Linked DNA regions of Elephas maximus indicus. The protein of the gene in region 2 interacts with the protein of the main gene of each other region in a biochemical or structural test. Links are inferred from orthologs where the notes say so. Each region holds a gene or a part of one and is shown on either strand. Other genes may lie near its edges.

Evidence for each region.
Region 1: the proteins of BMP7 (region 2) and ACVR1 form a complex in vitro, tested with the Homo sapiens proteins (2 studies listed by BioGRID). The link is inferred for Elephas maximus indicus from reciprocal best matches to the Homo sapiens genes BMP7 and ACVR1.
Region 3: the proteins of BMP7 (region 2) and BMPR1B form a complex in vitro, tested with the Homo sapiens proteins (2 studies listed by BioGRID). The link is inferred for Elephas maximus indicus from reciprocal best matches to the Homo sapiens genes BMP7 and BMPR1B.
Region 4: the proteins of BMP7 (region 2) and ACVR2A are reported together in a solved structure, tested with the Homo sapiens proteins (2 studies listed by BioGRID, with this or other methods). The link is inferred for Elephas maximus indicus from reciprocal best matches to the Homo sapiens genes BMP7 and ACVR2A.

What each region holds. Positions count from the first base shown.
Region 1 is NC_064824.1:55,167,795-55,176,130, forward strand, and holds the start of ACVR1 (activin receptor type-1), read right to left. Parts: upstream 3,303-8,336; 5' UTR 2,697-3,302; intron 2,590-2,696; exon of another isoform or gene 1,771-2,589; intron 1-1,770. UniProt on the Homo sapiens protein: Bone morphogenetic protein (BMP) type I receptor that is involved in a wide variety of biological processes, including bone, heart, cartilage, nervous, and reproductive system development and regulation.
Region 2 is NC_064843.1:11,986,527-11,994,768, forward strand, and holds the start of BMP7 (bone morphogenetic protein 7), read left to right. Parts: upstream 1-4,998; 5' UTR 4,999-5,507; coding exon 5,508-5,925; intron 5,926-8,242. UniProt on the Homo sapiens protein: Growth factor of the TGF-beta superfamily that plays important role in various biological processes, including embryogenesis, hematopoiesis, neurogenesis and skeletal morphogenesis.
Region 3 is NC_064823.1:59,706,304-59,714,016, reverse strand, and holds the start of BMPR1B (bone morphogenetic protein receptor type-1B), read left to right. Parts: upstream 1-4,161; 5' UTR 4,162-4,412; intron 4,413-7,713. UniProt on the Homo sapiens protein: On ligand binding, forms a receptor complex consisting of two type II and two type I transmembrane serine/threonine kinases.
Region 4 is NC_064824.1:44,701,531-44,709,317, reverse strand, and holds the start of ACVR2A (activin receptor type-2A), read right to left. Parts: upstream 3,173-7,787; 5' UTR 2,457-3,172; coding exon 2,402-2,456; intron 1-2,401. UniProt on the Homo sapiens protein: On ligand binding, forms a receptor complex consisting of two type II and two type I transmembrane serine/threonine kinases.

The DNA.
Region 1 (8,336 bases), on a different chromosome or scaffold from region 2:
TAACAGACTAAATGAGATTTAACTATGACAAACTCATTAAGACAGTATATGAATGAATGAAGTTTGGTAAACCCTAGTGAAAGTGGCTGAGCATGGGTTGCGGGGTCCCACGAACACTGGCTTCAAATCCTCGCTCTATCAGTGACTGGCTGTATGACTTCGGGCAACTTAATTTTGTCAAGCTTCAATTTCTTCTTGTAAAATAATAATAAAACATAGGCTTGTGGTGAGAATGTAATGAAAAAAATGCATTTAAAGAGCTGAGCACAGTGCCTGGCACATACCCAGCCCCTCCAAATCATATCTGTCATTAAATTCACCCAAAGTATGTCAGAGGGGTTTTGCCACCATTATGAGTTTACTTCTTCATAATAATTAACACATTAGATTGCTTCACATAAAAATAAATCAAGAATGCAGGGGCCCAACAGCAAACAAGCCACAGGTGACAGCTTCCAGTCCCAGCTCCTTGTTGCTGGAAGTACTGCACAGAAGCATTGATTCCATCTTCACATCATGACCTTGATGAGCAGGATCATTTTCAAATCCATTTTTTGCCCTACCTCCCCATCCCCTTCCCAAGGCTGGACTACTTAATTCAACCCTGAGAATCACCTAGAAGCCTATCATGAGATCTGTACAATTCTGAGTAGGACAGAGTCATAGCCTTTATGTACTGGCTTGGTCATTGTTATCTGTTCCACGGATGCATGAAGAAAATTTGGTAAATCACTAGTTTGAAAAAAAAAAAACCACAATGCTATTAATCGAATTAAATCCCTCACTTATGAAATTAATTACATTGCTGAATATGACACACATATCCAATCTTTATTCCAAGTTCTTAATATCCTTTTAAATTACTCAATGGCAACAAGGAACTTAATTTCAAATTCACATAATCACTCTCTTCCAAGGCGTAAAGTTGTGAAACTGCTAAATAAAGTTTCATTTAATACCACTCTCTCCATTTCAAGTAAAACCAACCAATACAGCTGGAAAAGGAGAGCATGACTCAATCTCTACCTATCACAGCCCTTGATCTTGTACCCAGAATTTATCTCAACATCAATTTACCTCCTTTGAGTATGTGCATGAGGGTGATAGCAAAAATGCTATCATCTAACACAATTACTTCAACATAAGGCCTACATGTCGGCTTCAAAAGACTTCCACTTCATTCCAGGCCAGAAAACAAAAATAACTAAATCACCAGAATATGATCTGGTCTCAGAAGATGGACGATCCAGGTTCTCTCCAGGCCTTGGATAACCTCCTGACCCGTGTTCCACCGGTAAAATGGGTGAGACCCATATTTCATACTTAAGCAGTCTGCACACTGCTTGATGGCAAGGATGGTGTCTGAGGTCAGCACAAGTCTAGTGTCTGCGGGCTGCCCAAGCCCGGGCCCAGGGCCAGCAACCCACCTCCAGAGACAAGTGCCAGGACATACTATAGTGTTTCCATTTAAGGCCCGCCATTTGGATCAGCCCATCTCTAAAACTTCTTCACACCACCTTTCCAGGAAGAATTTTTTGGGGAAAAGGGAGGTGGTGTCTATTTTTGCTACCGCCTTCCCTTGAGCTGTCAGAGCAGTCTGCATATCTGGGATGGGATTCTTTAAAAACACTTGGTTATGCTTCAGTTCGAGGGTTTCTCTTCCCCAAAACACAAAACAGTATGGACACACATAACTGATACCACACACCTCCAAAAAAAAAAAAAGGAAAGCCCAATAAAATTAACAAATTCATTACGTTACTTTGTTACCTCTCTCCAAAAGTCAAAGGAATGAGAACTTTTTAACGAAGACTTTTATTCTCCTACTGAATTAAACGTTTTCTTCCTCGAAGTGGCTTCCTCCACAGCTTCTCTCCCATGGAGCGTCCAAAACCCCAGGGAAAAAGAGGAGACAGGGTGAGGGGCATGTCTGGCACAAACTGGACAGGGCTGAACCAGTCTAAAGCCCAACGGAAGTTATGGAATCCAGCGGCTCCAGAGCTACACATCTCTCCCCAGCGCGCCCAAGATTGTAGCCCCAATGTTTTGGTTACAGTGTTGAAGGAAGGGTTTTAAACTTGGCAAAGCAACATGTAACATCTGTAACCACATTTGCCTTCTGGGGATCGGAAGATGAATCCCACATTCCTGGCTTTGAAGCTTTTTGAAACTGCAGCTAGGAAGAACGGAGGGAGGGAGCGAGTTGAGCGGAGTTTATTGGCTGTCTCTCCAGCAGAAAATTACTCTTGGAAGAGATGGATTTTTTTTGGGGGGGGGGATTCACCCATCTCTTTACTCTCTATCAAGCTCAGCTAGGAAGGTGAGCCCGGTGGCCAGGCAGCCAGATAGATTTCCAAGTCAGACGCGCACAGCCCGAAGGAGTTCACCACACACAGACAGACACACACACACACACACACACACCCTCCAGTGCAAACCAGAGACCCCCTCACTCCACGCCTCTGCCTCCCTTCATATCCCACCAGTAGTTCCGGCCCAAAGCAAGACAGTTTTGTTCCGTCGCTGCCTCTCCCACCAAGAGTGGATCAAGCTTGGGGGAGAAAGGAATGAAAGCAAGGGGGAGTCACCGCAGACGCCCACCCTCCCACCCCCAATCCCTGCCCATTCTCCCGCTAGGCTCCCTCCCCCCGCTGTCCTCTCAGCTCGGGCAGACGCGGTGCGCGACCTCCCCTCACCTCTGGTCCCGCCGCGGCCGGGGACTGAGCCGGGGGAGGTGGAGTGCTAGCCAGCCGGGCGCTGCAGGTCGGCGCGGCGCGGGGCGGGCGGCCCGGCGGGCGCGGGGCGGGGCGGGGCGGCGCAGCCGGCGAGGGAGCCCGGAACTCTGCGGGGCCAAGGGCCGGCGGCGGCGGTGACGGCGACGGCTGCAGCCGAGCGGTGCGGAGGGCCAGGGGCTTCCCAGCCCTCGGCACGGCACGGCACGGCACGGCGCGGCGCGGCTGGCCAAAGAGCAGGCTGGCAGCGGCAGCAGCGGCAGCCACCCCGGGGGAAGACACGGGGGAGGGAGGGAGGGCGGGGTGAAGAGGAGGAGGAGGAGAAGGAAGGGGCGGAGGGCGGGCGGAATAAACTTCCCGAGGCGCAGAGGCACGGGCTGGGAGGATGGCCGTGGGAGGGGCCGGCAGGCGGCTGGGGGCTCGCCCCCCGGGGGGCGCTGGAGAAGACGGTCACAGAGAGTCGAAAAGTTCCCCCAGCTCGCAGGGGGAGGTTGCGGCGCGGCGGCGGCTGCAAAGAGCAGGAGCCGGAGCGGGAGGAGCGGGTGGAGGAGGAGGAGGAAGTGGCTGCGCAGCGCTCGGCCAATGAGTGTCTGGAGCTGTGATTAACCAGGCAGCAACACATCATTTCCTCCCGGCACGGATCCAGGGAGCCGGGAGGGAGAGGGAAGGCGGCGGGGCGGGGCCGTCCCCGCGCCCCCTGCAGGAGCCCCGCCGAGCCTGGCCGCGCAGCCCCTGGCTCACCCGGCGCTGTCTGGCCTGCGGACCGGGAGGAGGCTGCAAGCGCGCTGCCCGCGGGGCTCCTCGGAGAAGGGGAGGCGGCAGGGCCGGCCCCAGCCGGGCTCCCGCGGCCGGGGTGGGGAGGAGGAGAGGCCGCGCAGTGCGGGTGAGTGCCCAGGTAGGCGCGGGCGGGCGGGCGGGCGGGGCTGTCTGGACAGCTCCCGGGGGCGCGCGGGGCCGGCGGGCGGGCTCCCTCCTGGGACTACGGCCAGCACGCAGCTGGGGTCCTGGTTGTCAGACTTAGGCTGGGTTCTCAGAGAAGCCTCAGCATTCTCATCCAGGCCATTTTTGAAGTGCCTTCAAATCCCCTTCACTTTGCTCATTTCTTCGCAGGGTTATGGAAGAGCTTGCCATTTTCGCAGTCGACCTCCTTAGTAATAAAAATATGCATGGGGGGCTTCTGCAGTAATCTAGCCTTGTCCTAGGCGCCATGGGAGCTTACAGTGGAAGGAAAGGAACATTCCCCGCCGCAGAGAGGCTGACAACCTCGGTCCTTAGATACACAAAAACACCCCAGTGTGCTAATATTATCCAGAGCATCCAAAAGGCATGCAAGGATCAAATTTTGCATGGTGCCTGCTGAGTGTAAGGAAAGCACTGAGCCATTTACTCTGCCCTCTAGAAGCATATAATGCACAGCCCTATCACAAAGCAAAGTAAAAGCATGAAATCAATAAACAGGAATATCATAAAGTATTTTTATCTCTACAGGTTCATTCATGTAGCAGACATTTATTGGGTGACTGTCTGCAGTACTGTAAAAGGTTGCAAAGGAAATGGAAGATCTGGTCCCTGCAGGTCAGGATTTTACAATCTAATTAGGAACACAAGGCATATCTATACATGAAAGAGCTAGAAGATAATCTCCAGGTATTATATAAGCAGGAGAATGGAAAAGTCTGGGACGTTTTTTTCATAGGGGGAGGGACTTGGTACCTGTAACATTGGTGGGGATCACTAGAGGATAATCGAGGTCAAATCAATGGAAGACAGCCTGTGTGTATCCCCACTCTGGGGAACAATGGGGGACAACAGGGACCCGAGTGTCACTTGGCTGCAGTGTCTGCTCTGCCAGTTACAAACTGTGGGACCTTGGGCATGTTTTTAGCCACTCAGAAGGGGATAAAGCTTGTCTCATGAGATTGTTGTGTGATGCAAATGAAATTACACATGTAAAGCTTTTCAAGCTGCTGGGTAAATGTTCCTGGATCATGTACATCTAAGAAGTCCTCATGTTCCAAACTGACCTCATGTTAACCTTCGTTGTAATCCCCACTAGACTGTAAGCTCCGCGAGGGCAGGGACCAGGTCTGTTGTGCTCACCATGTACCACCATGTCTAGCAGAGTGTCTGGCACATGTGGGTGCTCAATAAAGATTTGCTGAATAAGGGAATAAATGAGCAAATGAATCCTGTATGTTTTTAACTGTTCCTTTCAGTGATGGTGTTATTGTGTGGCTGGCTTCATGCAAAACCCTCTAACTCAACCTGTCTGTGACTAATTGATATTCAAGGAGATTGGGAGGATTTTGGATAGTGTTTGTGGCCTTGTAACATAGATTGTGTGTGTGTGTGTGTGTGTAAAGCAAAAAGGCCCACAAAGGGATACAGCCTCTGGTTTTGCCACATTAACCCAAGGTTCCTCAACCTCAGCTGAAAATTTTGGAATGGATGATTCCTTGTTGTGGGAGACTCTCCTGTTGTCTGTTGTGAGATGTTTAGCAGCATCCTTGGCCTCTATCCATTAAATGGCAGTAGCATGTCCTGCCTCCCCACCCCCCCCCCCAGAGATGTGACATCCAAAAATGTCTACAGACATTGCCAAACATGGGGGGCGGGGGGGCAAAATCAACCCCTGTTTAGAACCACTCCCTTAACCCAAGATCTAATCCACTAATTTACTCTGGTGGAAAATCACACCAGTACGGTACCTTGGAAGACATACATCTTCTGTAAGTCTAAGATTCTCAGATCTCCTTGATCTTACAGATCTCCTCGATCTTACAGATCTCCTCGATCTTACAGATCTCCTCGATCTTACATCTCAAGGAGCATGACTCTTGTTAATTAATTGCCTGCTGCATTGGGAATTGGCATCTCCTCTGTGTTCTGCATCTCCTCCTCTATGCCCATATCAACATGTTCATTTCTAAAAGTCAGCAGCTTTCAAAAACTATTAGGAAACAAGGCCTTGAGCAGCCTAAAAGAGATGTATAAAATTTTCCTATAAAACTTGGGGAGTTTATTCCATAAAATTTTACATAAAACTTCTCTGTTTATGGTTAAGCTTTTAGACTTAGAAACAATAACCACATCTACTCTTCAGTTTGTAAGTGGTACAGAATATAAATTGCAGCTTTAAAAAATTATTTTGCTTAAAATATTTAAATTACTACATCGAGTGATTTTCTTTCATCTTGAAGCCATTTCCTTTTGGTTCCAGAGAGCGTCCTCATTCCATAACAGTAACAGAACATGTTCTATTAAAACCTATAAAACAAAAAATCAACTTATTTATACATACCAGCTTCCAGAAGTAAATTCATTAGAAGAGTATTGGTAAAATGTCTGTGAAGTGGTGTTGGTGAAAATCCTGATGGGTTGATGTGCTGCAGTTAAATTTCTAAAGGTTTCATGAAGGGAAAAAAAAAGAATAGTTGAAGGAATGCGCAAATTCTGATAAGCCTTTAACTGTTCCTTTAGTAATGGGCATGTAGAATCCGAAACATCCTGATCTAGCAGGAAGTAGTACCATGTTTGTGATAATGTGCAGACATTTTTGGCCAGCAAAACAATATCATCTGTCTAAATTAACAGTTATTTGAAACATTATTTTTATAGCTTTGTTCATATTTATTTTTGGTTTCATAGGAAACCCTGGTGGCGTAGTGGTTAATAGGTACAGCTGCTCACCAAAAGGTCAGCGGTTGGGATCCACCAGGCGCTCCTTGGATACTCTATAGGGGCAGTTCTATGCTGTCCTATTGGGTCCTATGAGTCAGTAATCAACCCGAGGGCAGTAGGTTTGGTTTGGTTTTGGTTTTTCATAGTTGTGTAACGGCTATCAGCACGCAGAGATTAGTTTATATCTAGTTTAGTGATGAGGAGCCTTGATGGTTCAGTGGTTAAACACTCAGCTGCTAACCAAAAGGTCACTGGTTCAAATCCACCAGCCACTCTGCAGGAGAAAGATGTGGCAGGCTGCTTCTATGAAAATTACAGCCTTGGAAACCATGTGAGGCCGTTCTACTACAGTTGGTTTAGTGATTGTTCCTTTTAAGTTGAGCATTGAAGACTGGGTGGACATCCAGACTGCTTTAGGAGAAAGGCAAAGCCAGGGTTAAAGGAGGTTATAGTAAAGTGATTCCATTTCTATGTGTTAAACTAAAAGAACGACATATACTCTTGGAGGTCTCCAAATCATTTGTGAAATCTGTGAAATTTGTGCTTTTGCTTCCTTTACAATGATTTTAAAAGAAATTAATATGATAGTAAAGAAGTCAGTGTGCATATTGTAGATTACATGCATGTGTACCGTGCAACCATGATTCCAGTGCCTTTTTTGCTATGTAACTAAGTAAATATGGTTCATTTAAGTGATATTTTAATAAAAGTTATTTAAGGCATCACTACTCATCACTACTCCTAGGAGCCCTGGTGGTGCAGTGGTTAAGCATTCAGCTACTTACCAACAGGTTGGCGGTTTGAACCCACCAACTGCTCCAAGGGAGAAAGATGTGGCAATCTGCTTCAGTAAAGATTACAGCCTTGGAAACCGTATGGGGCAGTTCACTTCTGTCCTGTAGGGTCACGATGAGTTAGAATCGATTCAACAGCAACAGGTATACATTACTCAGGAGTCCCTGGGTGGCGCAGACAATTAAGCAATTGGCTACTAACCAAAAGGTTAGTGGTTTGATTCCACCCAGAATCTTATATGAAAGGCTGGAAATCTCCTGAAAAATCAGCCACTCTGACGCACATGAGGTTGCCTCGAGTCAGAGTTGACTCAAAAGGAACTGGCTTGGTTTTTAGTTTTATAAATTACACAAATGTAAGAAGTACTGGTCTAGCTGCATCATGACTATTCTTGAAGAGTAATTAATTAAAAAGGCTTTGCAATCTGAAATTTAGTCTTAATCCTGAGGACCATAATAAGTCAATATTATGTTCTAAAGAATGAAGTAACTGGATCAGAATAGTGAGGGGTGGAAGAGAAAATCATAAGCTGAAAGGGCCAGTAAGAAACCTGTCAGGACTGGCACTTTTTCCCAAAAGGTAAACATTTAAACCAGACAAGACAGATACGTATTTATTTGCAAGTTAAACTTTCCCAAGTGTATCAATGACTCATGAATTGTGCATTTCATACAAGAGTTTATTGGCCATGTTTAAGGAACTCTGGGAGCTACTATGGGAGCCCTCAAACTTCCTATTGTTTAAGAACTTAGTCCAGTAACTCCTGGCACAACAGGTTAAATGCAAACCAGTGTATGACTGGGCCAACCACGTCTTAAAGTATTGTAATGGAAAGATTCCTCATTAAATGATATTGTGGCACTTGGAAAAATTCTGCTAGTGCTTTCTCTCACACCATCCCTGAAAATATCTCCAGAAGCAATAATCAAAAACGAAACCCACTGCCATCTAGTTGATTCCAACTCATAGTGACCCTATAGGACAGAGTAGAGCTGCCCCATAGGGTTTCCAAGGACCAGCTGGTGGACTTGAACTGCCAACCTTCTGATTAGCAGCCAAGCTCTTAACCACTGTGCCACCAGGGCTCCTCCAGAGGAATACGAGTTAATTTTTTTTAAAAGTCATAAA
Region 2 (8,242 bases):
CTTTTCTCTGCTTGTCCCAAGGGCAGATCATCCAGGAAAGATTTGTTGTTTTTAAATTGAGGGAGCGTCCGTGTTACCATCCTCTTCTTTCCATACAGATGGAGACGGACGTTTGTTGAGTGCTTTCTCTGTTTCCCATGCGCTATTCAAAGCCCTTTTCATGAGTCCTCAGGGGAACCCAAGGAGGCAGGCACTATTAGGACAGGGAAACTGAGGCTCAAAGGGGTGAAGCCCCAGGGTGTGAACCACCCATGGGACTCTAAACAATCTTGAAGACTTGATGGTGACCTCAGCTCCCAAACCCGCATCCAATGCACTCCCAGACCGCTGTTTCTGCGTGTTTGCATTCACTCATTTGTTCATTCATTCACTCAGTAAGCCATAACTGAGGTGGTCTTGGGGACTCTTTTGGGGGAAGAAGCAGGGAAAATAGTCTACTCCTTCTTCCGTAGGTATCGTAGGAAAGATAAGGTTCAATAGGAGGGTTGTGGGAGTCCAGAGGAGATTTTATCTCTTCCCAGGTCTGGCTACGGAACACTCTGTTGTCTCTTTGCTATGAATTGGAGTTGACTTGACGGCAACAGGTTTTGGTTGTGTCTTCATCTCGCAGGAGAAAAGATGGCACCCAGAAGAAGGGCCACTTTGGAGCCCTGGGTCAACAGGCTCCCTATGTGTTGGCTGTGCTTCTTCCTGTTCATTCAACAGGTATTTTATTGAGCACCTGCTGTGTCCCAGGCTCAAGGTGGGCTCAGCTGAGAAGCACGGAAGATGAACTGTAATGCTTCCTTGGAGGACCTCCCTGGAAGATGAGTGGACACTGACAGTTCAGCGGGACCGACAGATTCTCAGTGGCTTTCGTATGTAAATTGTGGCACCAACCTGCTCCCCTCTCCCCCAGCCTCACTAGTGTGTGAAGATCCCCCCAAAAGGTTAGAGAGGGGATTAAGAAGCAGAGGCTGCTGCAGGGGAGTAGCATCTTGATGCTGGAAGAAAGAGACCCCATTCATCTCCGCTGGGATCTGAGTCAGCAGAGCAGTTGCAGCGACTCTGCAGCACTGGGAGCTTGGGTAGGACCCGGGGGATGGAGCCATGTTTTTGCTCCCTGCTCCACAGGCCCTGTGCACTGGCTGGTCCCTCTGCCTGGAATGCCTGTCCCTCACTCAGGTCAATGACATCTGGGTCATTTAGTTTTTTCCGCCATCAGTACTCCTCTGACTTCCTCGTGGGGCCTGTCTGCCTCTCCTCTCACTCCAAGCCTTAATGAAGGTTCCTGGTCTGTCCCCTCACCTGAAAGCCATCTTCTTGATGGGGACCACTTCCTGGCCCACTCACGGCTCTATGCCTGGGTCCAATGCTGTCCCTGACACCAGGATGGCCACATAATTTGAGGGGTTCATGCAAAATGAAAATGAGGGACCCCTTGTTCATAGATGATCAGGAATGTCACGCAACAGCATTAAACTAATTGTATGGTTCACAGGTGGCCACCCTGTGGAGCCGCCCCCACCTGACACTCAGGAAGCACCCAACACACACTGAAGGAGTGAGTGGATACTGGCCAGTGGGCAGAGGCCCAGCCCGGGGAGGGGCCCAGGACCTGGCCTCTGTGGTAGTGGCCGTCTGGCCGGCTGGTGTCCACATGAATGACTAGGACCTTTGGTGAATAATAGCCGATCTAAGGCAAATTTCCAAGATGTGGAGATAACTCATATCTCCACCTCCCACTTCATTCTTTGGCCACCAGCCACCCACATGGCACTTTCAGACTGTAACCACCCAGAAGGGGGTCTCCACAAGTTAGAACTCTGTCCATCCAGCCCTTGCCAAATAGGCAAACGCCAGCCTCTCTGCTGGCTCTCACTGTCCGCAGTGGGTTTGATAATTCCCTAGAATGACTCGAAGAAACTATTACCTGTACTTACAGTTACCCCTTTATCATAGTGAGAAAGGCTACAAAGCGTTGCGATGTATCAGGCAAGGTCTGGGCGAGGCGTGGGCTGGAGGCTCTATTGTCCCCATGGACGTGCTGTGCCCTCTCCCCTGCGGGGATGCTCTTACCAATCCCAAAAGCCCCAAAGAGAGCACTGGAAGGACCAGAGTCCCCTAGTCATTGGGATCTCAGTGAATATGCATGACTGGAGCCTTGATGTGTTGTAGGTCCCGTCAAGTTGGTTCTGACTCACAGTGACCCCATGTACCACAGAGCGAAATGCTGCCTGGTCCTGCACTGTCCTCATAATCGTTCTGTTTGAGCCCACCGTTGTAGCCACTGTGTCAACCCATCTCCTGGAGGGTCTTCCTTCTTTTCACTGACTTTACCAAGCACCATGTCCGTCTCCAGGGACTGGTCCCTCCTGATAACATGTTCAAAGTATGTGAGATGAAGTCTTGCCATCTTCACTTCTGAGAGCACTTTGGCTATACTTCTTCCAAGACAGACTTGTTTGTTCTTTTCGCAGTCCATGGTATATTCAATATTCTTTGCCAACATCATAATTCAAAGGCTTCCGTTCTTCTTCCGTCTTCCTTATTCATTGTTCAGCTTTTGCATGCGTATGAGGCGATTGAAAATATCATGGCTTGGGTCAGACGCACCTTAGTCCTCAAAGTGACATCTGTGCTTTTTTAACACTTTGAAGAGGCCGTTTGCAGCAGATTTGCCCAATGCAATATGTCATTTGATTTCTTGACTGCTGCTTCCGTGGGCGTTGACTGTGGATCCAAGTAAAATGAAACACCAAGCATGAGGTCCTCTTCCTGGTGGTGGTCCCTCCTGATAACACGTCCGAAGTAAGTGAGACCAATCAGACCCTGCCATTCTAGTTTCTAAGGAGTCTTAATGCAGAGTTAGGGTAGAGCCAATCCATGAATACACTTGCAGTCAAGGGGTGACCTGTGTAGCCCCCTATTTATATATACTTATTTAAGTTTGGCCTGGCTGTTTCAGAAGGACAAAGGGCACCTTTGTTACTCAGGTTATTTTAAAAAACCAGAGGCAAAAAGCCAAATGAAGTTCTTTGTCCCACAGATCTGCAGGCTTGCATATCTCTTCTCCTGGCTGGGCCTCTCCTCTCTCCACCCATGTGACCCCTTAGGCTGCCATCTTGTCCAAAAGCCCCCAGAGACCCAGAGGGCTGCATGGCAGATCTGCTCTGCTCAGGAGAACTGGAGAAAACCTGGCTCCTGGGAGTGTCTCTCACCAGCCCTCCTGCCTCAGGAAGGACCAGCCTGGTGGCTTTCTCCAGCCCTTCAGGGGGGTCAGCTAGGCCCCTAGCAGAAGCCTCCTTCCCCAAACTCAGCCTAAACTTTGTCTGGGTTCCCTGGTGACCCTCCACCTACCCTTGTATGGGAATCAGTGGTTTGTTTGTTGGCCTCCTTGGGACAGCCCTTGGGGGGGGGCATGGTCCTCACTGCCACTGGGACAGCCCCTGGCGGGGGGCATGGTCCTTACTGCCACTCTGAGTAAGGGGTTATTTTGCACCCATTTTAAAGATAAGGAAACCGAGGCTCCAAAGTGTAGTGATCACTGAAGTTCCCTCAGCTGGCAGAGGGGACCCGTAGGCTGTAGTGGTCTGGGGGCAGCGGTCAGCCGGGCACACCATGGGCAGCTTAGTAATATTTGTGGAAGGAAGAGTGAGAGGCAGGAGAAGGACAGAGGCAGAGTAGCGGGCGGGTGAGGTAAACTGCAACAGTAATTCCAGACAGCCAGAGAGCTCAAGAAAATAAAACGAGTGCGTGGGGGTGAGGAGGGAGGCAGCCTTAGCTTTGCTGGCTTGGGAAGGTCTCTGGGAGGCAGTGGCCGCTGAATAGGGACCTGGTGGTGGAGAGTCTTCTACCTGGGGAGAGACTGAGGGCATTGGTGTTGGGGAAGAGTTTCTAAAAACAAAACCTGCTCTCAACTTAGAAAGCCTCTGCACAACAATGGAAGAGACAGAAGAGTTTTATTCTTGAATAAGCACTGAACCCAAATGGGATGCATCACAGGCAATCAGTCCAGGAGAGAAATTGCCAAGACAAAGGAATCCGAGGCTTTAGAGAACTGAGTGGATACAGCCCATTACATTCACGTTAAAGATAAAATTGCTAATTTTCCAGTGTCTTCGTGGCAGGACACCTAAAGTTATGTTAATCTCCTTCCAGGAAACTGGGAGGGAGGGGTGTGAACTTCCTTGATGATTACATTTCAAAAGATGTCTCCCAGGTCCTTGAGAAACATTTTTTTTTTTTAATTTTTAATTGTGCTTTAAGTGAAAGTTTACAAATCAAGTCAGTCTCTCATACAAAAATTTATATACACCTTGCTATGTACTCCTAATTGCTCTCCCCCTAGAGAAACTTATTTGATTTACATACTTTTCGGAAAGACAAAGATCCAACCATTACGAGTTATCTAAAGTGAATTCTGCAAGAACAGGGGAGCCTGGTCCCCTGTCTTCTGCAGAGAATGAAAACCTCCTATTTTCAGTTTGTATTTATTTGTCCTTACAGAGGGCGGGGGCGAGGGTCAGGGGGAGTTTCAGGTGGCCAAAGTTAAGCTGTGGACAAGTCTGGGGGGGTGCGGCGGGTCCGCGTGGTTGGAGTGAGGAAAGCCAGCGAGTGTGTCGGAGGGGGGCAAACGGACGAGTCGGGCTCAGGGGCACCTCCTCTGAGAAGTCCTCTCCGATTCCCGCGCTTCCTCCACGCCCCTCCCGCCGCTCAGCTTCTGCCCCCGCTGCCCAGATCCTTGGGTCCGGCTGAGGTCTCCTTCCCTGTTCGGACTACGAGCCCCGAGAGGGCAGGGCCGGGTGGGCGTCTTTCCTCCCCAGGCCGGCGGCGTCTGGCCTGGCGCTGGGCACCCTGTGGGCACTTGGTCAATATTTGTCGAGCGCGCTGGAAGGGTTGAATGAATCCATTGGGCGCAGCAGGGGGGAGGGCGGGGCCGAGGCAGGTGGGAGGCCGCCGGCGCGGGAGGGGCCCCTGGAAGCCCGCCCTCCTCCTCCTCCTCCTCCTCCCAGGCCCCAGCGCGTTCGCTCTGGGGCTCCCGAGGCGTCTTCTCGTGCGATCAGGGGCGCGCAGGGCGGGGAGAGAGATCCTGGGGCCCTGCTCTCGGCGCCGGAGGTCGAAAGCGGGTGGGTCGCTGTCGCCGGATTGGAGAGCGCTCTCGAAAGGAGTGGGAGGAAGGAGCGCCCGCCCGCCGCCTCCCCAGCGCTCGCTCTCCAGGCTCGGAGGTTTGCGGCTGCTCCTCCCACCCGCGCCAGGCTCCTCGCTCGCTGGAGCGGGTCTCCAAGCCCCGCCGTGCGCCCAAGCGAGTGCAGGGCTAGGGGCCCCGGAGCCAGCCCGAGTCGGGGTGGGGGTCCGGGCAGCGCACAGCCGGCCGGGGAGGGGCCATGTCCGGCGCGGGTGCAGCGGGGCCCATCTGCAGCAAGTGACTGAGCGTCGTGGACGCCGCTGCCCCCCTCCGCCACCTGGGGCGGCGCGGGCCCAGGTGCCCGGAGCCCAGTGCCCTGGCCGCGCGGAGAGCCGGCGCGATGCACGTGCGCTCGCTGCGCGCCGCGGCGCCCTCCAGCTTCGTGGCGCTCTGGGTGCCCCTGCTCCTGCTGCGCGCCGCCCTGGCCGACTTCAGCCTGGACAACGAGGTGCACTCGAGCTTCATCCACCGGCGCCTCCGCAGCCAGGAGCGGCGGGAGATGCAGCGCGAGATCCTCTCCATCTTGGGCTTGCCCCACCGCCCGCGCCCCCACCTCCAGGGCAAGCACAACTCGGCGCCCATGTTCATGTTGGACCTGTACAATGCCATGGCGGTGGAGGAGGGCGGCGGGTCCGACAGCCAGGGTTTCTCCTACCCCTACAAGGCAGTCTTCAGCACCCAGGGCCCCCCTCTGGCCAGCCTGCAAGATAGCCACTTCCTTACTGACGCCGACATGGTCATGAGCTTCGTCAACCTCGGTGAGTGCGGGCAGGAGGAAGGGGGAGCACGCCTCGGCTGGGGGGCGCCTTGCAACAGGGAGGGGGGTGACTTTTTACATCTAGCCTCCCACCTTTCCGCTCGGCGGGTTTCACAGCGGTCAGTGCCTGGCTGAGAGTCTTCTACCTCCGGCCCTAGTGGAGCCCAAACTGTGCTCGCCCCCAGGTAGTGTGAGGCAGGCTCAGCTGGCCTGTGGATGTTATTGAAAGTGTAGAGACCCGCCCGAAGCCCCCTTCTGGTTACGCCGCCGGACGCACCTCTGGGGCAGCAGGCGCCGGCCCTGGTCGCGGCTGAGTTCAAAGCGCGGGGCTCGGTCATGTGAGCTGTCCCTGGCCGGCTCGGCGCTCGCTACCTGGATTTAAAGGGCCCTTCTTGGAGAAGCTGCCTTCCCGCCCGCCCTCGGCCCCGCGCACCCTGCCTGGCCCTGGCCTCCGGTGCAGCGCGACCCGTTCCCCGCTCTGGCAAGCCCTACCTGTCCCTTCGCGGTGCGCCCGCCTTCCCGTGCCGCGCGCCTGGGGAGCCTGGGGGCCTCTCCCCGCCGCCGGCGCCCCCCTCTCTTGGTCTTCCTGCCGGAGCCAGGGAAGAAACGTTGCCATTGCGAACTTTCTATTTTAAATATTTAATGATAGGTCCCGGGCAGGCAGAATCCATTTTCAGCGTTTATCACGTGTGGCGCTCAAACCACCGGTTTTGGCGATTGGGCGGCGCGGGATCTCGGAACAGACGCCGCTGGGGGCGGCGGGGGGACAGGGCTCCCGATGAAGCCTCTCCTGTCCGGGGAACGAGGTGGGGCTGCGGCGGTGCCCCGCGGCGCCCTCCATGGCATCCCCGCATGATTACCAAACTCGCTCAGACTAATCCCGGGCCGCGCGCTGTAGGACCGATGATCAAATATTTGGTTTCCGAGATAACACAGCCCGATAGCGCTGTTTCCTGAGCCGCTTTCATTCTACCTGTGTAACTTGCAGGGAAAATCCGAGCAGAGTCAAGACAGCAAACTTCCGCCCACCGGCGCAGTGTCAACTTGGAAATAATGACCCTAAATCCCCACGCCGGCCACCTGGGGAGTGGACGGGGGCGGGGAAGTGGGGATCCGCGTGAGGGCTTCCCGCCTCTGATAAGGTCGGCGGAGTCCAGGGGACGCCATTGTCCACCCTAAATGATAGCCCAACTCACATAGCGAAATGCGCTTCAGCGAGCAAGGAGTGGGAGGTTTAGATGGCAAAATAACATTTAAAAAGTTGAAGTTATACGAGGCAGCCTGTTGAGAACGAGGCAGCTCCTTATGCCCTGATTGGAACAATCTCTAAGATGTACGGGGTGGAAACAAGCCAGGTCCAGATCAGTGAGCCTACATACATGTTTGTATATCGTCCATGTTCTAGCAGAAGACTCCGTGAACTGGAAATAAATTTTACGGGGGGGGGGGGGGAGGGGAGGGGCAGAACTGGGACTGGGACATAAGGGGGGGAGTCGGGTTTTTCAATGTCCTCACTTTTGCCTGTGACTTTTTTCTTGCCGTGTGTGTTTATTGTCTGTACCAAAAACTAAAAAACAATTCTAAAAATAAGAATAAACGGAAGTGGCACTCTATAGCAGTACTGATTCCCGGGTTAACCAGGGCCTTCTCTCTGGCTGGGATTTATGGCATCTGCTGTTGGGTTGGGTATCCGGGACTCCCAATGCTGCAGGTCCCAGCTGCCGCCTTCAGAGATCAGCCGGGGTCATTACAAAGGCATTTGGGAGCCCTGGCTTCTGTAGAGGGCTCTGCAAACCCATGCAAAAAGCTCTAATGCTTAGTGACTGGCAACTCGGCCAGATCCTGGGGCCCCCCCACCCCAGGGGAGGAGCGGTTTGCTCACTGGATGCCTTTGGGAACTGGGGGCAGGGCTGTTTGCTCCCGTGGGTGGTGGGAGCAAGCCAGGACTCGCCTGGGAAGGCCACAGCTGGGTGGTTTTCCTTCTGGCTGTGCACACACCTTTCAACCCCGCTAGTCCCATTTCTTTCATCTTGAAAGGACAAAGACCGGCTTGTCTGAGCCTCTCAATCAGCTGGGCTGGCTTTGGGCTTTGTGGGACAGCCTTGCCTAAATTTCTCAGGTCTAGCTTTCTGGAACATCGCTCCAAATTAGATGGTGGAGTGGCTTTAACAGGGCGCTCTAGGAGTGTTTTCTCTCTCTCTCTACTGAGGGTAATTAGTTAGGTGAAGGCCTGGACTCAAGTTTGTCAGGACCCTTCTAAGCTTGGCCTTTAATTTCTGCTCAGCAACAGCACATGAATAAAACGTCCGGGCTGTCTG
Region 3 (7,713 bases), on a different chromosome or scaffold from region 2:
TCCAAAGAAACAGATGTAAGAATGACTTTTTTTTTTTTTTAATAAGCTTTGTTGCAGAATTTTTTCCTAATTTTCCAGTTTTAGGAACCATGTAGGTATACGAACTAGAATGGTTCAGAAAAAAAAAATTATCAGGTTTTAGAAATAAAAAAAATTTTTTTTCTGTACAATTTAAAGAAAGATAATATTGAAATGATACTGTTATTAAAATCTGATTTCAAAGGGATTAATTCATATCAGCATATAACATTAATTATTAGACAGCATATAAATAGGTGGATATTATAGCTGCTTTTATTAAGAAAAATTGGAACAATGTTGACACCAAAAGAAAATAAAATCATTTTAGCATTTCTTCTTCAGATTTTTTTTTTGTGCCTTGTTTCTGTTTGAGTTCTATTTTTCTTTAACTTACATATTGGGCAAAATTAATCTGTTACAGAACTAGAATCTATGTGTTATTTCTTCCTATATAAAAATCACAGGTGCTTTATATAAAATTAAATAAAAAGAACAGCAGAAAATATGGTAAAAGGTTTAGAATGTAAATATGAGAGTAATTTGAAGTGTTTTTTGATAGTGAGATTATCACTGATATATAATGCACCAGGGTGAATTATCAGCAATACGTTGTTGTTAGGCGCCATTAAGTTGGATCCAACTCATAGTGATCCTATGTACAATAGAATGAAGCACTGCCTGGTCCTGTGCCATTCTCTCAATTGTTGCTATGCTTGAGCCCATAATTGCAGCCACTGTGTTAGTCCAGCTCCGAGAGGGTCTTCTTCTCTTTTGCTGACCCTCACTTTACCAAGCATGATGTCCTTCTCCAGGGGCTGGTCCCTCCTGATAACATGTCCAAAGTACATGAGACAAAGTTTCACCATCCTTGCTTCTAAGGACAATTCTGGCTGTACTTCTTCCAAGACAGATTTGTGTTCTTTTTGCAGTCCATGGTATCTTCAATATTCTCCGCCAACACCATAATTCAAAGGCATCAATTCTTCTTCTGTCTTCCTTATTCTTTGCCCAGCTTTCATGTGCATATGAGGTGAGTAAAAATACTATGGCTTGGGTCAGGTGCACTCTCAAAGTGACATTGTTATCAGCAGTATAGTCACTCATATTCTATTTATCAATGCTAATTAATATATTAATATGATTGTAAAATTGTTTATATAAATATAAATTATATTTATCTTGATGCTTATATTAATACCTAAAAATTTCCGTATTAGGTATGTTAAACACAGAATCATAGAGTAGAAAGGTATCTTTGATATTTGTTAGCCTCCTCTTCTATCTGTTGTAGGAACCCCTTCGGTAGTATTCCATCCCTACCTCTGACCGAACGCTTCTGTGATAAGAATCTCACTATCTTATGATGTCGTCTGCTACACGACATGAAAAATCTGATTTTGAGCTAAAATCACCCATTTCTAGAGCTAGGAAAAGTGGTTTTGTAAATACAAATGCCAGGGGAGAGTAGTTAAAGACAGGGAAGAGATCTTTAGGAAATTCACAACTTGGCAGAGGGCCTAGGCAAGGGGATTGAACACTGACACCAAGATGTTAGCTTTAAAAGCCCCAGACCCCATTGGTTCTCAAGTCTGGTCTCAACAGCTCCTCACCCTGGCTGTTAGCTTTCCAGGAAGCTCAGGAAGCTGTTTAACAAAATATAAAGGACCCAAGTACCCTAATTTTCATGCTTTTTTAGGATCAGGCTCACATATTACCTTAGATTCAAGATTTTTAGGTAATTTTTTTTAGTGTTCATTAGATTCTTAAAAATGCCCTCTTTGCTATAGAGGTCCTGTAGCCAGACTGTCCAACTTTAAATCTTCCTCTTTCACTTACTATGCTTTGTTCATGTAACTTAACTGACTACCTTGGTTTCCTCATCTTTAAAATGGGAATAAAATAGGAGCCCTGGTGGTGTACCACAGCTCTTATCTACTTGCTTGTAAATTAATTGAAGGGTAATCTGTATCTTCCCCATCCAGTACTCAGAGATGACTGCAGTCACTTCGTCAGTGCCTTATTCCTGGCAGAAGCTCAGAAAGATGCTTGCAGAATAGAGTTAAACCAAGGAAAGCTGATCCTTCATACAGCTTCTGAAAAGATATGGACAATCCAAACCCTTCCTGCTCAAAAACTTTTACCATAATGTCTGGTTTATTTCACTGTAGTTCGTGAGGACTAAAATTGTAATATAAAAATATTTATTTGGTAAATAAAAGTTATCCATACTTCCTACAGTAAAGGGTACCAGTTCAAGTGGATTTCTTTCCTCTTTGTTGTTGTCAGTTGCTGTGGTATTGATTTTCGATTCATGGTGACCCATTATGACAGAGCAGAACTGCCCCCAGAGGGTTTTCTTGGCTGTAATCTTTAGGAGAGCAGATGGCCAGGTCTTTCTAACGCAGAGCTGCTGGGTGGGTTCAAACCGCCAACCTTTGGTGTAACTGTTGTGCCACCCAGGCTCCTTCTTTCTTTACTAAACCTAGTTAATGTCAGAGGATGGAGATGATGGGAAATTTAACTGATGACCAAGAGGAATGTAATTTAGGAGCAGAGACAACTTGGGGTGAGGGTAAAATGAGGAGAGTCTACATTGTGACTCTATGCAGTTACATGAGTACTGAGCACTTGAACTATAACAAAGGTCAGGTAAGGGATGCCAATGACAAATGCCACCTGTTTTGAAAATTTCCTAGTGTTATATTAAACAGAATTATTTTCTTCTTCCTTTCTGGCACCTGGAACCAGAATGTAGGTTAGTCCTGATAATATTTTGGCTCTAATATATGATGGGGTAAAAGACTCTCAGGAAGACTCTAACATTGCTTTTATGGGGAAAATGTGCCCACATTTCACACGCTCATCAATAAACATCTGGAGCACCACCTGCTCCTAAGTGGGAGCTGCATAAATAAATTCATACACAATCAAATTAATTTTCTTACTGATAAGTGTAAAGGATTATATTTCCTGCCTGCTAAAAAGATTTAATAGAAATAAATCGAGGAAAAGGACCAGTTGAAAGAAAACAGTAGGCTTGGAATTGAATAGGCAACAGAAATAGATGTAAAGAAAATGAGAGGAAAGCTACTCAGAATGAAATTGTGTTAAGATAGTATTGAAGCCACATGCCTGATGGTGACTAGAGAGAGTTTATCAGTATTTTTGGAAGATGAAGAGATTTTACAAAAAGAGGAAATAAGTAATGCTGGGGGGTGGGCAGCTGAAAGGCACTGGGAGAAAAAAGAATGTTTGGAAGTCATTCGATGGTTCCCTGGGAAATAGAGTTGGCAAAACAACTGATTTTAAAATGAAGCTAACTATTCTCCCCTCAAAGACTGTGAACTAACTTAATTTATACTCAGCGCCTTAGAAAATGTTTCAACCCTTAAAGATTTAGGAAGGTGACCACAAAGTAGAGACGTTAAGTGGCGCAGTGACTAAGAGCTATGACTGCTAACCAAAAGGTCAGCCGTTCAAATCCACCAGCAGCTCCTTGGAAACCCCATGGGGCAAGTCTACTCTCTCCTATAGGGTCCTTGTGAGTCGGAATGGGCAATGGTTTTTTTTTTTTCAATAGTCAAACTCCATCGAATACAATCGGAAGGGATTTTGTGTGCGTGTGTTGCCGTTAGTTTTTGTTTTCAGTAGTTTAAAAGTATCTGTAAGGAGAAAACATTTCATTTCCCTAGGGGATCCTTCTGTATGTTTCAGGAGCTCCTAAGACCTCCATCCGAAGCTGCAGGCATGGTTTGAAGTGTGTGTGTGCGTTTTTTACGAGGTGTGTCAACGTTTTAGCAACTTCTCAAAAGCGTCGACGACCCTGAAAGGATTAAATCCACTGCACTACATTATCTCTGGGAGTCCCTTCCAGCTCTCAATGTATAGTGAACGAATCTTTATTCCTCCAATTTATAAGGGTTTTTTTTTTTTTAAACCCCCTCTTAAACATGCCCAAGAAAACACATTTGGTTGAAACCGAAGTGATGCTCTAAGAAGCCAACTAAGTCTTGGCAGTTCACCCTTCTATCCAGTGCTGTAGAAGGGAAAGATGCAGGCAGCTGTCCCAAACGCGCTCACCTCTGCTCACACACACAGCAGCGGCGCTGGGGCTGCCCCAAGAGCGTCGGGAGGTGTAATCCCTCCGCTAAGTACTTGGCTCTCAATCTCCAATCACTAGTGGGAGCTGGAGAGGGCGAGTGAAAAGAAAAAAAAAAAAAAAAATTCCAGAGGCAGCCGAGGAGCGAGAAAAAAAAAAAAAGTCCCGCGGCGTCTGCGGCGGCGGCGGCGGCCAGAAGTTGACGGCGCGGCCGGGCGCGGGGCGCAGAGTCGGCGCGGGCAGTGCGGGAACCGCCGCGCCGAGGACGCCAGTGCCCGGAGCGCAGCTGCGGGTAAGTCGGGCGCGGGCGGGCGGGAGCAGTGCGGTTCGGTCCCCACGCGGGTGGTCCCCTCCTCGGGCGCGCGGGTGGCGGCCGAGGCGGTGCGAGTCGAGCGGGAAGAAGAGAGGAGCAGGGCTGGCGGGGGCGAGTGCGGGGCTTGGCGGCCGCCGCTCGGGGCAGGACGGAGCGCGCGAGCAGAGGAGGAAAGCGGGCAGCGCGGGCGTGGAGCGGCGGGGAGGGGTCAGGCGGTGGCCGCTCCGGCTTTGTGCGCGGGCGGCTCTGCCGGGTCCTCGAGGCCTCGGTGCCCGCGCTGAAGAGGAGCCCCGGGCACCGGCAGTGGCGGGAGGGACACGTGCTCCGGGAGCTGGAGAAGGAGGGACGCGCCGAGGCGGGGAGTAGGGACCTGCATTCCGGGAGCTGGGGCGGGAGGACGAGCCTAGGGCAGCCCCAGAACCTGGAAAATTGGAGAGAGCCCCTCAGGCCGGAGAGGCGCAGAACCCGCCCAGGCAGGACCCGCAGGCACCCAACTCGGTGCGGAGCCACCTGTCTCTACGCCACCCGAGACCGAGGCTTGCCGAGGGAAAAAGTGCGCAGCGGGTCGATCCCGGCGTCTCGAACTTTGCTCGGTCTCTCTGCCTTTCTATTCCTCTTTCCCTCTGTCTCTCCCTCGGACTGTGTCCCTCTCAAGTTCTCTATCTCTCTTTCCCACTTCCTCTTTACCTTCCTTGCTTTCTGTCTTGTTCTCACTCCCCACCGCTTCTGTCTCTCTGACTCTCTGTCCCTCTCTCTCCGTCCCACCCTTTTCTGTCTCTCTGTCCCTCCCTCTCTGTCTCTATTTCCTCTCTCTCCCAAGCTCTTTAGGTCTCTGTCATTTAGAGGATGACTTTCTGCTCCTTGTCTCACTCTGTCTCTCCTTTTTTCTGTCTCATTCTCTGTGCCCATCCCTGTCCCCCTTTCTGTCAGGACTCCTTATTTCTGTCTGTGTCCCTTGTAGTGTTAGAGTTGCAGACATCAGAGAAGATTCTCAGAAAGTCGTCTGGTGCAGTTGCATATTCCTTTTGAGTCACACCACTGCAGCTGAATGCTGGGTGCTTCTTATTTGTTCCCCATAGAATGGGACCATTGGTTTCCTTGAGTTATTAGGAACTGCTCTTTTCTTAGTCACCATCACCAAGGTGAGGTCAGTGACTTCCAGCAGCCACAAAGGTGCCAGTGAAAGAAAACAGAGGAAGAGAGCCCTTTAATTGCCTAGAACATGTAAAGAGAATGTACCAAACATATCTGCGCTGAAGCAGAACCACCTGAGAAGAGGTTGCTGAATTCTGGGAAGAAACACAAAAGGCTCCACTAATAATGAGGGGGTTCAACTAAAAAGTATTTAAAAATAATTTGAAAAAGCATTTGTGGAAATCTCTTGGTCTGTTAAATTGAAACCAACAAATGTCTGTTTTTCTACGTGTATTTTTAGAATCCCAGTGACAACACTCCTAATTATTGTTTTGGGAAAGTTATGGGAAATGTCCTGTGTCAACTGGGATATTTGTATTTAAGAAAATATCCAGTCTTTGTACTTTATACCTCTTTACACACTGGCGATCAAGAAGAATTATTTTTGATGGCAAAGAAAATAGGAAAGGATTTGTCAGTAATTTTAAAACATGAGACATTCCAGGGATCAATAATTTCTTTGGAAAATTTTCACTATAAGGATGTTTTGAAGGATATTACATCTTAGTGAAATAAGCAAGTTATTACACACTTAGATCATTGTGTGATGCAAAAAAAAAAGTGTGTGCTGTAAGCAACTAGTAGAAGTGATGGCTTTTTATAGGAAACATAGCTGGGAAATTAATTGCTCTGATTTTCCCTGTTTTCTTTAGTCATGTATAATGTACCTTTGTTTTTTAGCAAAATATGGCCTGGGGCTACAAAACTTGATACAGTGTGTTATTTGTCCAATTTGAATTACCATTTAGAAAACCACCTTTTCCTTTTGGTCACATGGTATAAGTTGATATGATCTCATTACTCATGTGCTAGTGGCTGCTGATGAATTTTAATGGCACCGATTTGTGATTTTAAATCAAAATGTTAGTTTGTGGTGAGTTAGAAATCTTGATTTATGTCATGTTAGTGAATCATCACTGTTTATAGGGGCTTTGCCACCTTGTCTGCCAGGTGCTACACAGCATTTAGTCTAGCAGGGTTGTCTGAAGCTCCCTGTTAGGTTCTGGTCCCTGAGTGACATGCTACCGCCACTCATGGGATGTTCATATATGTGTCTCAGAGTGTTCTGGTTGTTAAATAACATTTGTTAAAAGGAAATCGACTTAATTTTTCTTCATAAACTTTGACAACTGGGTGAGACAGCCTGATAAAGTATTTCTGTTAAAGTAAATGCTGATTTTATTATTATTTCTTTAAAGGTATAAGGTATTTTAAAATGTATATCTTTGGTACATATCATACCCTCCACTCAATTTATATTTATCATCACCCAAATCTAAGGTCACTTGTCAGCTACTTCCACCTAGCAAAGCCTTGCCTAATTTTCATAAGCCCCTCATCTCTTTGGCTTCTATGCATATCCCTCTCAGCACTCACCTCTCTGCTGTATAATTACCTGCTTGTCTCTCCCCACTGAACTGTTATCTCATTGAGTTATTCTTTTTCCTTCTCTGCCTTTCAGGTGCCCAGCACTGTACTGGGCATACGGTAAAAACTCAAAAAATCCTTTAAGGACAATTAGTTCCTATCTAATTTGTCTCTACCTTGTGATGTTAATTCTTTGAAATGCACTAGTTTTAACATGGTGTTATAGCAATCATAGACTTAGGGATGAAAAGACCTTAGAGAGTATCTTCACACATTAATATTAAAGATGAAGAAGATGAGGCCCAAGAGCTTGAAAAATTTGCTCAGAAATAGGCAGGGAAGCCATATTGCCTATGGAGCTGAGGCCTTGTGCTCTTTTCCATACGCCACAGTTCTTTTCACTGGACTCAGGCTTGCCCCCTTTGACTAGAAGTGGGTGAATCTGTCTATAATTAGAAGCTAACAGTTATCATTTAAAATCTGAGGATTTCTTCCCATACTGATCAGTAAAAGCCATGCATCCAGTAACCCATAGTCATTTGTTATACATATGCTTGGAGTTAATGTTTATCTTTCAGAAAACTGACTACTAAGTGCTTTTATGTGCTATACATTGTTCTGGGTGCTGACTGCGTGATCTTGGGCAAAAAGAATAATTTCTAATTGCAAAGAATTTTAAGCTCTCTGGACTTCAATTTTCTCTTCTATAACTTTCTGT
Region 4 (7,787 bases), on a different chromosome or scaffold from region 2:
TGAAAAATAAAAGTCCACAAAACACTAAAATAAACAGTAAACATTCATCCTACACACTTGAAATAAAACTGTTCTTTACTACTGCTCCCATTTATTAAAAAAAAAAAAAAATCCAGAAACAACAAACTGATGACTTGAGAAATTCTCCAATTCTCATAAAAATAGCCATCGACATGCTTCCAACATGCTAGATCATATATTACATAGAGAAATCAATTAGGAGGAGAAACACAATAAGCCCTTTTTACTGTGCATTTGATTCACAACAAAAGCCCTTTAAAAGAAAATCAAACAATTCAAGTACTAAAAATGTTCAGGTATAAATATGGAGTAAGGTCTTCATGATTATTTCAGTTACCTTCAACAGAATCACACAGCTTAGTTCAACTAGGAATGTTCATTTAAAAAAAAAAAAAAACCAAGGCTAGAGTATTTACTATTAGTTTCATATAAGTGGAATATGTTTTGCAACATCAAAACTATTTCAAAATTCTGGTTATTAAACTCCTGGCCCAGGGAAAACAATCCTTCAAGAAACTGATGCTCAATTCGTTTTAGTCCTAAACCCCACAGAGGCGGCTGTAACATCTGAAGCGACAGCCTTCCTGCTTCTTCAGAAGGAATACCTGGAGACTGCTCAAGAATAACGGCATTCACCAATTAGTATGATTCAGGTGGGTTTGGGAGGGAATAATGTCCACAATTCCTTCCAGTGGCCATGATGCCCCTCCTCCTCAAGGGCAAGCGATCAGAAAAGGGATTTGAACAAGAGTTCACCAACCAGAACATAGAGGGGCAGAGGAGAAACAGTACTACGGGAAAAATAAAAACTACATGGTTAAGTCATGTCACACAAGCAAAAGGTCTAATGCTATCAAGGCCTTCATTCATTTCAGACACACCATTGTTTATCTTCCTCCCCAAACCGTGCACAAAAAGAACTGTCAGCCTGCCTTAAGCATGTTCCTTCTTCCATTTAAACAGACATGATTCTTCTGGTTAATCTCTGGCAATGATCGCCATTTCACAACACATTCAGCCCACCCGGAACTGATCAATACCACTACAGACATAAGACTAGACTTTATCCACTTATTAACCACAAGGAAGCGTACCATTCAGCAAAATTCTATACATTACAAAAGATCCTATTAAAAAAAAAAAACCCACCTCGGAGGAGGGAAAAGATGGACGGGACACACACACACACACATACACACACACACACCACAGAGGTACACAAAGAAAAGGCTACCACCCTCTAATTTCCCTGTTGCAAACAAGATAAAGACATGGCCATGAAACCTATCAATTCGTTTTTTTTTCCCCCCTTATAATGCTACCCCACAATCAGTGGCTGGGTACTAGTTGAATTTTATGATTAACAGATCCACAGTGACTTTAGAATTGTTTCATCTCTCGAACTAACTCTCCTGTTATGTACATATGCACACCTTTAGGCTAGACGCTGTATTCATTTATAGAATTTCAAGTACAAAAGACTAGTTTTTCCGACCACTGGTTGCAACCACAGAACGTTCTCACAAAATCCAAATTTCAAATATAAAATGGCCAGATTATTCTTTCAACTTTGGGCCAAAATTTATCTTATGACTACAGGTATTTAACAATAAGAACAATTTCATATGAGCAGTTCTAACCTGAAAACAACACAAAACATTTAAAATAAGTAGGTAAGCAAAATCAATGCCCAAAAAGAGCTCCCAAATGACGGCTGAATGCCAGCAAATTACCAACACACAACTGGCATACCTCTTCTGCACCGGGTTATAGTTAATACTCCAACAACTACAACTATTTTTAACACTGCTGGACACTGAAGTTGAAGAAAACGTGAGAGGAGACCCAGATGAAATTGCTGATACGATACACTGCTTCTCACTGTCAAAATTAAGCAGCAACTGACCTGATCTGCGTCGTAATAGTCAGGAGTGAAGCGCTAATTAAAGACAAAAAAAAAAAAAAGAAGAAAGAAAACGTATTTTTGAAGGATCCCCACACTAAATGACATTTTTGAATACGCCTTTTGGGTCTCAACCTTTGCATAAATTGTCACTTGTGGTATCTGCGGGTTAAGTGCAACTCAACCAGCGCTGTCATCCAGTGTTATGGCCACAAACCATGACTTTCTCACTTTCACAACAACAGAGCAGTTCTATCAGTTCGCCAACCTTCCTCAAAACGAGGAAAATCCATGGAGGTTTCCAGATCACAATCAGACCTGGGGGGTGGCAGCAGAGCGACTCGGGGTGGGGGGAGAACCTCCCCAGGCTCCACCGGAGCTCAGTGACCCAACAACAGCCGCCGCCGCCAGCAGTGGCAGTGGCGGCGGCGGCGGCAGCAGCAGCAGCAGCCGCCCCGCCGCGCTCCCTGCACCTACCTGAAGAACAAGAGATAAGAAAGACGGCAAACGCCAACTTCGCAGCAGCTCCCATTTTCCCCAGGCGCCGGGGAATCCGTAGGAAGTTCTCTTTAGATATCCAGTTCCCCGGGTCTTCCTCGGAGACAAACCTCCTGGTGTAAAATCAACCGTCATAAAACATATTCGGAAACCCCGAGCAAAAAACGTTCACGGGGTTTAAAAAAAAAAAAAAAAAGGAGAAAAAAAAAAGGCACGACAATTAAAAAAAAAAAATGCACCACGGGGAAAACCGCCACACACACGCACAACACTCAAAACCAAACAACGAAAAGCCAACAACAACAAAAGCGGGTTTAAATCACTGTCAAAATCACTGTCAGCTCCGCTCGCCTCTCGGGTCTCTCGAAACAAAATGCCAGGTTGAGGCGACAAGGAGGCGGTGGCGGCGGCGCCCGCTGCCGCCCGGACAGTCCGAGAACCGAGCTGGGTCCGACGACCGGACCGACCTTCAACCCGGACACCCAAAGTCCGCGGACCGCTGGCGGCCGAAACCGCGGCGGTGGCGGCCGAGGCGGCGGAAGCGGAGTGGGGAAGGAGCGGCGGGCGGCGGCGCCGGCGGTGCAGGCGGTGGCCAAGTTCTGGTCCAGGCTCTGGCTCCGGCTCCGGGCTCCGAGCTCGGCCGCGTTTTCGGTCCCCTGGCCTCCGCCGGGCCCCGCCCCCCAGACTTCCGGTTCCGGCCCAAAGCTAGAAGCCTGGCGCGGCGGAGGAACGCGCGGCGGTGGCGGCAGCGGCGGCGGCGGCCGGGCGCAGCGCGCGTGCCGGGCCGGGAGCGCGAGGAGATTGTCGGGGAAAAGAGGCGGGAGCGGGGGAGGGGTGAGAGCGCGAGGGCGGGGCCGGCTGGAGGGCGAGGGGGCGGGGCGGACGGAGGCTCGATACCGCGAGGCCTCGGCGTCCGGCCTTCTTTGGCCAGAGATCCCGCGAGAAAGGGGCGCGGGCGCCTCAAAGCCCCCGAGCTGTGGCTGGGCTGTGGGTCCTGTGCGGTGGGCGGGTGGATGTGGTTGTGGGTCGTACGCTCCTGGTTTCCAAATCGCGCCCCCTGGCCTCTCTTGAGTGCACGTCTTAGTGGTCAGGGGAAGCCCAAAAGGAACAGGACACCGAAGCGAGTGGGGGGCCGGTGACGCCTTCGGGGGGCGTCTGCGGCACCCTGTCTTTCCTCTGGGGGGACGCCTCGTCCGCTCCGAGACTCCGGGCGCCGCATGTGTGGAAGCCGAGGGTGGGAGCCCGTCCACCGCGCCTGGAGAGCTGTCCACCAGCGTGCCCTGTGCACACGAGCAGGTGTCTGTACGCCCAGCCTTAGCGGTGCGTCCCACCCTTGTGGCTTCTGCTAAGCGTTTTGTCTTTCGGCTAATAACGGGGGAAGGGGGAGAAATCAACGGAGGATGGGGGCTATGCGCCTAGTCAGGGTGTCCACACCAGTTACCACGCACGATGTGCGATTTGAGTCCATTCCCACCAGTCCCTTGTTTTACACAAAGCATTGTGTGGAGAACTGTTGTGCACACAATAGTTTCGCAAATGCGTGTTTATCACGCGCTGAGGAAAAAACTGCGGATTTCCATCAGTGTATTTGACCGTTTGACAGGTATTTGCTTATTCAAATTTTAGTTATTTTCGGGTTCTTTTGCCCCTTAATCCATGTTGATTGCTTACAAGGTGTGCTGTCGTAGGCACGTATTAAGATACAAAATTTAAAAAATAGATCCCCACCTCAAGGAACTCAGTATTTTCTGCATTCGACGTTGATTACAGAATAAAAGCTAAAGACTATGTTAAGAAACTAGCTCTGTCATTTACCACACTACGGTGAGCTCCTGAAGGTAGGGATCTTGTCTGTCTTCATTTTTATCCCAGCACCCACAAGTGTCTAGCATATGAAAGGTGCTTAACAAATACCTGTATGAATGACTAGGGTATGACCTTTTTCTTAAACACAATTTTCTGCATATATATTATGAATTTTTGTGCTTTTTAAAATAATGAAATAGTAATAAAGCAACTATTAATATGGCATATTCATGTTTTACGTGTGGTTCACTGACTCCTACATTTTTCCCACAAAGCCAAGCCTTCTCCTTTGTATTTGTTTTCTTTTTCTTTTGCTCTAAATTACTCTGTATTTCTGTCTATTAAGTTCATCCTGTAATTATCTGCCCATTTCTACGACTTGTCAAGGTTATTAATAATTATTGTGGCTCTTTAGACTGTCTGCAAGATTTCCAGTTCTCAGGTCATGGAGCTCTGAATTTCGCTGATACTGTGCAATAGTTAAGAGAAGTCCCAAATTGGTTTTCAGGGTGTCTGAATGATCTCATGTCAAGCAGTTCTCTTGTCTTTGTGAGCTGGTCAGTGGAGTAAGTATAAATCTTCCATTCTCTGGTTGAATCAAGAGTTGCCACTAACTTTCTGGAATGGAAGAGTGTTTTTGACTTAGAACCACCTTCAGTTCGTTCAGGAATTTGATGTTAGTTATACCCTGGATCAGGCCCCACTGTTGTCTTATCTCTGCATCTCTTCAATATTTCTTGAATTGTGAAACTAGAGAAAGTGGAATAACTGGAATAACAAGTAATAGGATTAAAACTTGAAAATAAATTCCTTATCTTACCACCCACATTTTCCAGCATGAGAATGTAAGAGAAGCAGTATTCTGTAGTATTAAAGAGGAGCTTCACTAAAATATCCTTTAAGTAAACAGTTAAATAATCCCATGGGACGTTATTAACATCCAGTAACAACAGTCAAGCATTCTGTACCTAAATCAGTGTTAACTCCCTACTCCTGCATTTAAAAAAATTCAAAAATAATTTAACCTAATAAGATGGGAGTATGTAAGTTCCAAAACATAAAAAGAAGATGGAGATAGCTACAGCTAACCCTAGAGCCCCTCTTTCCTCCCTATGTTCTGGAATCAGTTTCTCTTATTCCCAAATCCAACACTTCCATAACAACAGTATCAGCTTTACAACCTGGATTTGGGAAGGAAGGAGAGGCAACATGAAAGGAATTCCAGTCTGCCAAAGCATTATGGGGCAAATAGCTTCAGTTAACATCACTCACTACCCAAACCTGAGACCTTGCCTTGTAACCACTCTAATGCTGGAGTTTAAAGTCCAGAGTCCCACCAAGAAGTTCATCTGAATTGCAAGTTTTTCCCAACTGGAAGAATCTCTCAATCTAGAGATTTAAATATGTGTTGGCTTAATGAGTAAACGGGTAAATGAGAGTCACAGACTGCTTCCAGAATAAAGGATGATTCCTTTTTGTGCTAGAACCCCATGTGGCTCCAAAACATATGGACTAAGTTTAAACCTTCAGCTCTGAAGTAGGGCTGAATTTGAACTGGTCTGGAATTTAACTTGCTTTAGAAATTGGGTCGTATGCCATGCATCATGGGAAATTTCATCTTAAGGCATTCACTTGACTTTAGACCTACCAATAGCCAAAACACTTTTACTTCATCTTCAGGAAGATGACTGAATTGCTTTGCAGTATGAAAGATACTGAGTTCTCCTTACATGAAGAATTTAGAGGTATTTTTGCTGCTTTCTAGCTGGTATAAAAGTCCATTCCTGTGTTGAGATAATATAGATATTCTTTAATTGGCACAAGTAACAAATTTCTTTTATGCCACTGCTGTAAAGCATAATACGTGAATAAACTTGATAACTTAGTAAGTGAAAGGAAGGCAGATAACAGCATATCTTCCAAGAATATCCTCATCTTCATGAGTGGCCAGGGTGTGAAGAAAACTAGCTGCAGCCTGCCTTTTATTGCTGCTTACTCTTCCCCTTATACTCTTCCTTTCACTTCTATTTACTTCCAGCACTGTGCCAAGTGGGGTCAAAAAGACACATACTGAGCAGAAAAAAGATGTGGGAATGAACGAAAGACAAAACATTAGGCAGAATATTTTAGAGTGGGGCGAGTGAGTTAAAAGGGTTTAGAGAAACTAGCTGTGATGGAAATATGTATCCAGCCCTTTGAGGGAAAAACCTGCTGCAACCCAGCTAGTACTATAAATCGCAGCAAACAAGTAGTTTCTCTGTAACATCCCAAGGGTAACATTGGACTTTTTCTTTCCACTATCCCCTCCTTCAAGATCCAGTAAATGTGTGGGAAACAAAAATAACAGGATTAATTTGGGGAGGGGTTTTTTTCTTTCCCCATCCTCTAATTTATATTCATGACCACACCTGTTCAGCTTTCTTAAGAACTAGATCTCCCCAGAACGATAACCACAGTGCCAACTCTAAATGCTACACAGCAGCACAAAGAACACCTAACCACCCCCAACCAAAAAAAAAAAAAAAAACCCACTGCCATAAAGTTGATTTTTACTCATAGTGACCCCATAGGGTTCTCAGACTGCCACGTCTTTCCCTTTCTCCCACTGAGCTGCTGGTGGTTTCGAACTGCTGGCCTTTTGGTTAGCAGTCATCGCTTTAACCACTATGCCACCAGGGCTCCTTACCCATCCCCACCCCCCGTGGTTCTGGATTATGGTGCTATTGACCCTCCCCGCAACAGCTGGAAATGGGGGGGGATAGGGAGTGTGTTGGTTTGCACAATGCCTGGTGAGGATGGTGTCACTGGCTTTCAGTGTCCTGGGGCTAGGATGATAAATGTCGTGCAGTATCTTGGGCAGTCCTACCCAATAAAGAATAGGTCAGGCTTTGAGATATACTACCAGAACCAATCCCAGTGAAGGATGATGGAGTAAACCAGAGCTATTCAAAGTAAGTTCATAAACCAGCGCTGGTCTTAAAACTATTTGTTACTGGTCTTCCATGAGATAAGCATAGACATTGCAACAACAATGTAGAAAGTTTTTTTAGAAACTTCACATAGAAATTTATCCTTGTGGAAACTAATAAAATATTTGGGCTTATATTTTGTCATTGTTTTTATTTCATGTTTTTAGTAATTTGTATTGTATATTATAAAAGTCTCATAGATTAGGAATTTACCATAGATAATTGAGAGGGATCAGAGTAGCGAATAAGCTATTTACCCAAGGCTCTTTCTCAAAAATAGTGCCCTCCATCCATTTTGACAAATGCTAAAAATCTCAAATAAAGCTTTGGTGGTATAGTCCTGAAATTTGTATAATGCAAGATTGCATGAGAGTCGGTTGTTTTCATTTCATTGTCTACCTTTATCTGTTCATTCAATTATTCAACAAGTTATTATTATATACAGGATATGTGCTAGGTGCTGTTTGTACATTGATGAATCAAATGGATATAGTCTCTGCCCCTTTCTCATTGACCTTAGAGTAGCATGGAGAAGACAGAAAAATAACAAACATGTATTTGCCAAATGTAAAGGATTATTTATAAAAAGT